Linked DNA regions of Bombyx mori. The protein of the gene in region 1 interacts with the protein of each later gene in a biochemical or structural test. Links are inferred from orthologs where the notes say so. Each region holds a gene or a part of one and is shown in the gene's direction. Other genes may lie near its edges. The genes, in order: ubiquitin-protein ligase E3A, FAS-associated factor 2 and Rad23.

Region 1 (3,661 bases):
ATAGTATCTGTTTTTTAATTAAAAATAAATTTAGCCGTACAAATATTTTTTTAAATACCAGTATAGTTGTTGAGATGTGCTTAAAAGTTTTAGGGGGTATTAATAGGCATCTCAGTCGCCTTATGATGTACGTGAGTTAATAAATTATTAGTTCGCATTTATTGAACAACAATTTTTAATGCATAAGAGCTCTTTGTGTGCGTGCGTGCGTGTGTTTGTGTGTGTGTGTGTATGTGTGAGAGAGAGAGAGAGAGATCGCTAAGAGCGATCTTTTCCAGGTAACCATCAAAGTGGTGGAAGGTGGAAAAGAATCGCTTGGAAACTAATTACACGCGGTGTACCAATCAATTGAAATATATTTATATACACACATACATACACCTAAGTAATTGTAATTTGTTTTTACCATCGCACCGCCCGCCACCGGAGTAGAGTTCATCCATACTACCTGAAGCCACTGCGGTCATCCACAGTGCGCTTCCAGAGGTCTTTTTTGCCACGTACCATCCGGCTATGGAATGAGCTCCCCTACACGGTGTTTCCCGAGCGCTATGACATGTCCTTCTTCAAACGAGGCTTGTGGAGAGTATTAAGCGGTAGGCAGCGGCTTGGCTCTGCTCTGCCCCTGGCATTGCTGAAGTCCATGGGCGACGGTAACCACTCACCATCAGGTGGGCCGTAAGCCCGTCTGCCTACAAAGTCAATAAAAAAAAAAAATTAATGTGATATGTTTTTTCCAGCCAACACGAGGTTCTCGTTCCTGCGGCACCCGTTCGTGCTGACGGTGGCCAGCAAGTCGCTGGGGCTGTACTACGAGAACCGGCTGCGCATGTACTCGGAGAGCCGCGCCGCGCTGCTGCAGGCCGCCGTGGGCGCCGCGCGGCCCGAGCCCTTCCTGCGCCTGCGCGTGCGCCGCTCGCACCTCATCGAGGACGCGCTCGTCGTGGTGCGTACACACCCACTACACACCCACTGGTGGCACCCTGCCCTGCCTATTCCTGCCGTGAAGCAGTAATGCGTTTCTATTTGAAGAGTGGGACAGCCGTTGTAAGACCTTAGAACTCATATCTCAAGGTGGTTGGCGGCATTTGTAGATGCCTATGGGCTCCGGTAACCACTTAACAACAGGTGGGCTGTGAGCTCGTCCACCTATCTATGCTATAAAAAAATTTGGGTTTTGGTTAAGCCTGTCCTCGAAGCAGCTCACCATGAAAGCACCACAATTCTGCATATGTCTGTCACGGTGCAATTGTGTACTCCAGTCTGAAGGCTCGGAGAGTTGTGACGTGGTGGTACTCTGTGAAATGTGTTTTCTCGTTTGTCTTCTATGTTGTTTAAAGTATACTAGTGGGACCACTAGTCATTGGGTCTTGGGAGCTTTAGTAAAAATTCGACTATAATTAATTGGAATTATAAGTTTGAACAATATTATAGTTCTATTGTCAAATACTATGATATGATATACTTCTATAATCACAGATTTCGTCAAGACTACACTATAGACAAATAATATTAAAGGCAAACAATGTTAACATGTTCTCAATTTAACCACAGACTTTGAGCATTAACAAAAGTTCAACAATAAACCAAGAGTATATGAGTCGACTATTATCAAAGCCGGCAATCTGACTTTTGGACAATGATTGGTAAATCAGAAAAACGAATTATTGACTTTGTATTCCATTGGCAGTCACAAAACTCTTCGGAACGACATCTTAGATAAATAACAGGTTAACTATTAACCTTTATTTAATGCAGGTTTTGAACCGTATTCTTTGAAGGAGACGATTATATTCAAATCAATCTGTATTGACATATCAATAAATTTTTTTTGTCCAAATGCACAGATTGCCACCTTTGATAATAGACGACTCATATATAATATGTATGTATGTGTGTGTCATGCTTTTTTTATTGATTTAATGTATTATTAATGCATAATTAAAAAAAATTGCATTCTACACTCCTTTTCTATATTCTCTAAGTGTGGGAGATTTCATACTCCTCCGTCCACGCCATTTTCGTAAAAATGGGTACAAAGTTTTTGCTTCACGTATTAATATATAGGTGTCATTTGATTTTAGCTGGAAATGATATCAATGGAAAGAGCTCTGGATCTGAAGAAGCAGTTAGTTGTTGAATTCGAAGGGGAACAGGGCGTCGACGAAGGAGGTGTCAGTAAGGAGTTTTTCCAACTAATTGTCGAAGAAATATTCAACCCGGACTATGGCATGTTCACGCACCAACAGGACTCTCGTAATGTATGGTGAGTGTTATATGGGACCATTTACTTGTAAGCCATATTTTCCTAGTATGGATGGTATCAGTTTGAATGTTTATTTGTTCATATAAGGTACACAATTCTACAGCCAACCAACATTCAGTAACTCATTAGATCGGGTTGCCGTATAGAGCTAGTTTACAAGATTGCAGGTTAAATATCTAAATTGTATTTTATTGTATTTTGTCTTCCCGAGCGCTATGACATATCCTTCTTCAAACGAGGCTTGTGGAGAGTACTTAACAGTAGGCAGCAGCGTGGCTCTACCCTTGGCATAGTCGAAGTCCATGGGCGACGGTAACCACTCATCATCAGATGGGCAATTAAAAAAAATTGTATTGTAAGCTAAAGGGATAATAACATAATAAATAAAGATAATAGATAAATTGACAAATTGCAGGTTCAACCCCACATCATTTGAAACGGAAGCACAGTTCACTTTGATTGGTATAGTGCTCGGTCTTGCCATATACAACAATGTTATTCTAGCAGTTAACTTCCCTATGGTTGTGTATAGAAAGCTGTTAGGCAGGAAAGGCTCTTTCGAAGACTTAGTTGATTGGAATCCTGTAAGTATCCTGTATGATTAATGTTATATGGTATAGTAATTAATTTCACCTTTTACTGGTGCCAGGATATATCCTGTCCATGGGTGAATTCATATGTTCAGGTCTGAACTGTAGAATATTTTGAATATAAAATGTTTAAATGTTTAATACTAGATAGGTTGAAAGCTCCCCTGCAATGTTCTCCAAGGTCTATGTAAATCTTGATTGCTAATTTGTTCAAACCCCATTTCTATTAAGCTGTAAGCCTATATACCTTATCATGCTTTGCTGAATTGAGGATAAATGTATGCGGATTCGTGGCAGCTAATTGATGGTACTTTGAAAGTACATGCCACTTCGTTAATAAACAAAACAAAATTACAATATGCATAACAAAAGTTAAGGTTATATTAATATTTTACATTTCAGATTTTATACAACGGCTTAAAAGATATGCTAGAATACACGGGCGATGATCTAGAAGAGGTTTATTATCAGACATTCAGGATATGTTACCAAGACGTGTTCGGAACTAATATGTTTCACGAATTGAAAGTGAACGGAGATAATATTTTTGTTACACAAGAAAACAAAAAGGTAAGACAAGTTTTAGTTTAAGGTTTATATTTATTACACTTTTTTTTAAAAAAATTTATTGACATTGTAGGCATTCGATCATACGGCCCACCTGATGGTGAGTGGTTACCGTCGCCCATGGACTTCAGCAATGCCAGGGGCAGAGCCAAGCCAGTGTCTACCCCAGTTATCACTGTGGTGAAATTTCGTATGTTCATGTTGTATGAATTTGTCTTTAACTTATCTGAATGTCCTT
Region 2 (3,661 bases), on another chromosome or scaffold:
AGAATGAATTTAAAAATTCGAATGTGGTTTCAGATGTGGCTTTCAGTGGCGCAAGCTGACGAATTAAAAGAAAACAATATGTCAATATTAGTTTTGGTCTGTGCTTATCACTTTAAAAAAAAGTAGGTACAATTCGTGGGGTGCTTAGTTGATGATTTTGAAGTCGTGGCCTAAAAGATAAGACGTCCGGTGCATTCGTATGTAACGATGCACCGGTGTTCGAATCCCGCCGACAAGTACCATTTTTCCAATGAAATACGTACTTAACAAATGTTCACGATTGATTTGCACAGTGAAGGAATATCATCGTGTAATAAAAACCATAACCGCAAAGTTATTATATTTATTATAATAAAATTATTATATTTTATGGTAGGCAACGGCTTGGCTCGGCCTCTGGCATTGCTGACGTCCATGAGCGACGGTGACCACTTACTATCAGGTGGGCCGTATGCTCGTCCGCCTACAAAGGCATTAAAAATAAAATATACATAGTTTGCGTAATTACGGGTGTTAGGAAGTCTTGGTAAGGTTTTCTTCGGTTTAAATACTTTTACTGGTGGTAGGACCTCTTATGAGTCTGCATGGGTAAGAACCACCGCCCTGCCTATTTCTGCCGTGAAGCAGTGATGCGTTTCGGTTTGAAGGGTGGGGCAGCCCTGTTAAAAGTGAAACCTTACAACTCATGTCTCAAGATGGGTTTACGCTATAAATGTCTATCCAATCATCTCGTCCACTAATCAAACCAATTAATAAAACTCCAATCTCGTGCACAAACCTATCTATATTTGAAATATATTTACCAGAGTGGAACGCGAAGTGACAGCGCGGCTGAGGGCTGCCCAGGACGAAGCATACGCCGAATCCCTCGCGGCCGACCAGGAGAAGGAGAGACGAAAAGCGGCCGCCCGTGAATTAGAACAGTTACAGCAACAACAGTACTTAGAGGAATTGGAGCAAGAGGAACGCCGGAAACAAGAGGTTGCCAGTTAATACATTTTTTTAATCAATTCCAACTACCCTCTTATTTCACGAATTAACAAGAATGAATGAATATATATATAACTAGCTGACCCGGGAGACTTCGTAGTGCCTCAATCGATAAATAAAAGACCTTAACTTTTGTATCAAATAAACTTAAAACAAACAAAAGGAATCCGTCCGACGGGAGAAACATCAAAGGAAAAACAAAATTGTTATTTTTATTTAATTCCGAGCATTTTCATATTTATCTACCTTGTAAACCTTCCCTGGACTTTCACGAATAATTCAAGACCAAACTTAGCCAAATCGGTCCAGCCGTTCTCGAGTTTTAGCGAGACTAACGAACAGCAATTCATTTTTATATATATGTAACTAGTCAGGTCATAAGTATTGTCACACAGTAAAAACTTTTCTTTTAGAATGCTGGCCACAAAAAAGTTTATTGAATTCGAATTTCGAATTGTTCATGAAAATAAAAATGTATACTTTTAGAATTTTAGTCATTTTTAAATATGGAGTGGACGCTTAAAGAAGACCGTGTTGCAGTTATTGCGTTGCATCGTTGCGGTTACGCGCCAATTCAAATTTTTAACATACTGAAAAATTTGAATATAACCAAAAGATTCGTTTATCGTACCATCAAACGATATAATGAAGACTCTAGTGTAGATGACAGGTCAAGAAGTGGTCGCCCTCGGTCTGTTAGGACTCCAGCAGTGATAAAAGCTGTGAAGGCGCGAATTCAAAGAAATCCCAAACGTAAGCAGAAACTGTGGGCCCTTCAGATGGGGTTAAGCAGAACCACGGTGAAAAGGGTGTTAAATGAAGATTAAGGGCTTCGGGCATATCGAAGAAAAACAGGACATCGTTTGAATGCTCGTCTAATGGACCTGAGCCTGAAGAGATGCCGCGCTTTGTTGAAGCGGTACGCGGGAAAAATATATCGGGAAATTCTTTTTTCGGATGAAAAAATTTTTGCCGTAGAAGAGAGCTACAACAAACAAAATGATAAGGTGTACGCACACAGTAGTGAAGAACCGAGCAACCGTATTTCGCGTGTCCAACGAGGTCATTTTCCATCCTCGCTCATGGTATGGTTGGGAGTTTCTTATTGGGGCTTAACAGAGGTACATTTTTGTGAGAAAGGTGTAAAAACGAATGCAGTTGTGTATCAAAATACAGTCCTGACGAACCTTGTGGAACCTGTTTCTCATACCATGTTCAATAACAGGCACTGGGTATTCCAACAAGATTCGGCGCCAGCTCATAGAGCGAAGAGCACACAAGACTGGCTGGCGGCGCGTGAAATCGACTTCATCCGGCACGAAGACTGGCCCTCCTCCAGTCCAGATTTGAATCCGTTAGATTCATAGACCTATATAGTAGGGACACGACATATTGTTCTATACGTACAATTGCTTATATAAATAGCACCCATTTTGAAGGCACATACATAAACATATATCTATCTCGTTCTTACTCAGCACGTTAACTCGCAGGAAAACAATATAACAGTATTTCAGTGCGTACATAAAATGAAACATGAATATACGTAAATGTCTCCGTCTCCGTCTAATGAGGCCGAAAATCCGCCATGTTTAGCGCGCCAAATGTCATTGTCACGTCAGTTCGGCCGTCTGTTTTGGGTTGTACAGTATTTATTGACTTTGATATCGATTTAATATGATTGCTTATATAAAATTTCTTATTTTATCATGCTTAAAACATACAAAAAATAATAATTAAAACATATTTTATAGGATCTCAAGAAAGTCGTCGGAACTATTTTAATAAAATAGTTTTATAACACTATTGTCAACTCGTTAAATATTTAATAATTAAGTGATTTTAGAGAGGAAGTCACAAGGAATGGCGTTTGTAATATTATTAACGAATAAATGTTCTGTAGGTGTTTTTTTTTATCAGGCTGTCCCTTGATATGTTTAAAATTTGAATCACTCTCAAGTGAGAGTGATTCAAATGGTGCGGCGTACCTTCCTTGAGGTGCGCTGCGGTAGTGTGTTACGGACTTTAGAGTCAGCAAAACAATTGAAATAGATTGTAATAGTCTAAGAAAAACACGTACTCAAAATACGATAACATTCAGCATGCTAGAAATGGGCAGATGGCACTGTACTACGCCATATCTTTATGTTTTGCGGCAAACGACAACTTTATAAAATCAGTGTAGCAAATTTTAAAAATCGTCATATCGTTTACTTGGCAAATTTGAAGCACGATCTCGTCTTAGATTTTACATAATATCTAAATCACATCATCTTTGCACATAACAATATACTTACTTCCTATTAAAGTATAAATTCTACAAATACATTCACTCAACAATATTTAAATTAAAATGAGCCAAGAACGTTTATCGATAAAACCTACTAACATTAAAATCTTCTGGGCAGCACTAAAACCGCCATGTTTTGTGGCCAGATGACGTCACAGCGGCACGAATTTTTTGTTGACGTTTCATTTCCATAGGTTTCCTACTTCAGTGGTTAGATTACAAGATATGGCAACACTTGGAGGAAAAGGCGTGCTCAAAGCCTCATCCCAATTTGGAGTCACTCAAGACATCTTTGATTAAGGCAGCCGCCGATATTGACATGGACCTCGTTCGTGCTGAGATAGACGACTGGCCGCGCAGATTGAAGGCCTGTATTCAAAA
Region 3 (3,110 bases), on another chromosome or scaffold:
CGCAGTCACCCAAAACACGTCATTTCGTATCCTCCCGATCCACTATCGGTGCTTTTAGGCACTTCGAGCATGGGTTACCGTTCTCGTCGAACCCGTCGCTTGCGACGAAGGCCTCGGCGAGTAAATTAATCCACCGATACAGCCCACTGAGTTTCTCGCCGGATCCGGAAGGGTGGGGCAGCCGTTGTAACTATACTTGAGACCTTAGAACTTATATCTCAAGGTGGGTGGCGCATTTACGCTGTGGATGTCTATGGGCTCCAGTAACCACTTAACACCAGGTGGGCTGTGAGCTCGTCCACCCATCTAAGCAATAAAAAAAAAAATCTCAGTGGGTCTTGTTTGCGATCCGGTAGTAGATTCTGCAACGTACTGCTCTTGCTAGTGTTAGTGTAAGCAGCGTTGCCAAGTTTGAGTCCCATGAGCTCACCTAATTATTAGGTTACGCTGACATAGCCTCTGAAGGCTATCAGCTTAGGTAGGATTTAAAAAAAAAAGCGACTCGGTCGCTTACCTTTATTATATGGGGACGGAATCCTCTGTGACGCCTAGATATTTGATCTTCGAAACGCACGGTATGGGCTGACCGAAAAGACGGTAAAGACTAATTTACGGTATAAATAAGCAAGATGGTTTTAGCGAGTGGCTCCATTTCATCTTGTTGATCAAAGATCTACCATTTATAGCTAGGCCAGACAAAACGTTAATAAAATAATAAACGGTATAAGTTTCCCCTTGTAGTGAATATACATACAGTTTATAACACTAAGGAATCAAAAGTTCATTGAAAATAAAATTAACAAATTTTTGACATTAAAAATTATAAGAAAAGTTGAAAAAAGTCCATAGAAAATTCCCCGCTATTAAAATAGTAAAAAAGAGATATTAAAAGTACATTAAAAAAAACAAATAAACTAATACGTACGAGCCAAGAAAATTTAAACTTGAGTATATTAAATTAAGACATTTAACCAGGAGCTTATGTAGTAAATTAAAGTCGTCGAGATCATACAAATATTGTTAAATTGTGTTAATTAATAAATTGTACAAAATTTCATCAAAAATGTGTGTGATGTTTGTTCCGTTGTACATAAAGTACCTCGCTTAAAAAAAATTACCTAAAAAATTATAGCAAATAAATCATCTTTTAAAATATCTTCACATCCCTAGTAGAACTCGTAGGTAGGTACCAATATTAGTGCACAATCCATTACATACTTACCAGGATTACCAGGTATAGTGTAATCTATGCTTTTGGAAGAGGTTATGTTTACTGCATAATTCTGTCGAGTCAGAATTCAGTTGATAAATTTTGTGCACAACTTACTGAATCATCTAATATAATAAGAAAAGTGTAAAAATGTTGGTGACGCTAAAAACTTTACAACAGCAAACATTTCAAATTGAAATAGATCCAGAAGAAACTGTGAAAGCATTGAAGTTAAAAATTGAAGTGGAAAAAGGGAAGGATTTTGTCGCCGACCATCAAAGACTTATTTATGCGGGAAAAATTCTTCTGGACGACAACAAAATAAATTCTTACAACATAGATGAAAAGAAATTCATTGTTATTATGGTTACAAAACCTAAAGTCTCCGAGAGCCAGCCTACATCAACTTCCATACCCGAAGCAGGCGAAAGTGCTTCTACTGATAGTGGTGATGCTAAGCCTAAGACTGTTCCTCCTGAAGAAGTAGTCAAGCCTACTACAGCAGAAACTGAGCGAGTTACCGAGACTCCCAACACCACTAGTGATGCTGAGTTAGAAGCAACTATCCAAAGTATTATGGATATGGGATATGATAGGCCACAAGTTGAACAAGCATTACGCGCCTCATTTAATAATAGAGAAAGAGCTGTAGAATATTTAATAACAGGTATTCCTGAAGAATTGCTACATGAACAAGAAGCTGAAGAAAGTTCTGATGAAGACCCATTAGCCTTCCTGCGAGATCAACCACAATTTCAGCAAATGCGTGCTGTTATACAACAGAATCCCAATTTGTTAAATGCTGTGTTACAGCAGATTGGTCAGACAAATCCAGCTTTATTACAAGTAATCAGCCAACATCAAGAAGCCTTTGTCAGAATGTTAAATGAACCAGTGAACCCTTCTGCTGCGGGAGTAGCATCAGATGAGAATGTTGCTGATATTCAACAACCTCAATTAGGGTCACAGAATGTTATTCAAGTGTCTGCTCAAGATAAAGAAGCTATTGAAAGATTAAAAGCTCTTGGTTTTCCTGAACATATGGTGATACAAGCCTATTTTGCTTGTGAAAAAAATGAGAATCTTGCAGCTAACTTTTTGCTGTCTCAGAATTTTGATGACTAAGTTCTTGACTTAATCGAATGACAAGTGCAAAAGGAAAAAGTGTTGTTTTTTTTGCAAAATTCATTGTTTTAATCTACACAATCTGTGTATTTCATACACTTTTATAGAGCTTGTCATTATTCAATATCTAATAAATTTCTTATTGTTCAGTGGTTTATTATTTTTGTAATAATGTTTATTTGCTTACAGTCAAAGTAAATTTACTTAAAATAATCATCAAATAAGTAAAATGATTAAATTTTCAACCACATTTGTAATTTATAATTATTTTTCAGCTTGTATTCATTATACTTACATAAAGTAATCGATGCTGTTTAGCAGTTTAATTTAATTTTTTGATTATAAATTTTGTTTAATGTATATATAACACTACAACATAATACAAATATTTCACAAAAAAAGTAGATATAGGTCATGCTTAAAATCTTAAATAATGAAAACATTATATTATAGAATGTTTGGTCGAGATTTGCATTCCTTTTTTATTGCTGTAGATGGCCAAGTAGGACACACCTGATGGTGAGTGGTCACTGTCATTTAAGGATATACCAAGGACCAAGAATACTGGCCTTTTAAGTGTATTATCTATGATACAGGCTAAGCTATAGTCTATTATACTCAGATACTACTTTTATTGTGTTAAAAATAATACTAGAGACTACTGAAATGTTGCACGTAAAGTTTTTGTAAAAATGTAGGTATATCTTTTATTGAACCAACCAATACCTTGTTTTGAATTGGTCTACCAGTGTGGTTTTGATGGGTCACATGTAAC

What was found.
Region 2: of the proteins of ubiquitin-protein ligase E3A (region 1) and FAS-associated factor 2, one has a biochemical effect on the other in vitro, tested with the Homo sapiens proteins (2 studies listed by BioGRID). The link is inferred for Bombyx mori from reciprocal best matches to the Homo sapiens genes UBE3A and FAF2.
Region 3: of the proteins of ubiquitin-protein ligase E3A (region 1) and Rad23, one has a biochemical effect on the other in vitro, tested with the Homo sapiens proteins (9 studies listed by BioGRID, with this or other methods). The link is inferred for Bombyx mori from reciprocal best matches to the Homo sapiens genes UBE3A and RAD23A.

Annotation. Positions count from the first base shown.
Region 1 is NC_085119.1:5,216,218-5,219,878, reverse strand, and holds part of ubiquitin-protein ligase E3A, read left to right. Parts: intron 1-740; coding exon 741-946; intron 947-2,084; coding exon 2,085-2,266; intron 2,267-2,681; coding exon 2,682-2,850; intron 2,851-3,258; coding exon 3,259-3,426; intron 3,427-3,661. UniProt on the Homo sapiens protein: E3 ubiquitin-protein ligase which accepts ubiquitin from an E2 ubiquitin-conjugating enzyme in the form of a thioester and transfers it to its substrates.
Region 2 is NC_085109.1:7,642,166-7,645,826, forward strand, and holds part of FAS-associated factor 2, read left to right. Parts: intron 1-806; coding exon 807-981; intron 982-3,661. UniProt on the Homo sapiens protein: Plays an important role in endoplasmic reticulum-associated degradation (ERAD) that mediates ubiquitin-dependent degradation of misfolded endoplasmic reticulum proteins.
Region 3 is NC_085116.1:8,907,655-8,910,764, reverse strand, and holds Rad23 (nuclear excision repair protein rad23), read left to right. Parts: upstream 1-1,195; 5' UTR 1,196-1,360; coding exon 1,361-2,335; 3' UTR 2,336-2,484; downstream 2,485-3,110. UniProt on the Homo sapiens protein: Multiubiquitin chain receptor involved in modulation of proteasomal degradation. Binds to 'Lys-48'-linked polyubiquitin chains in a length-dependent manner and with a lower affinity to 'Lys-63'-linked polyubiquitin chains.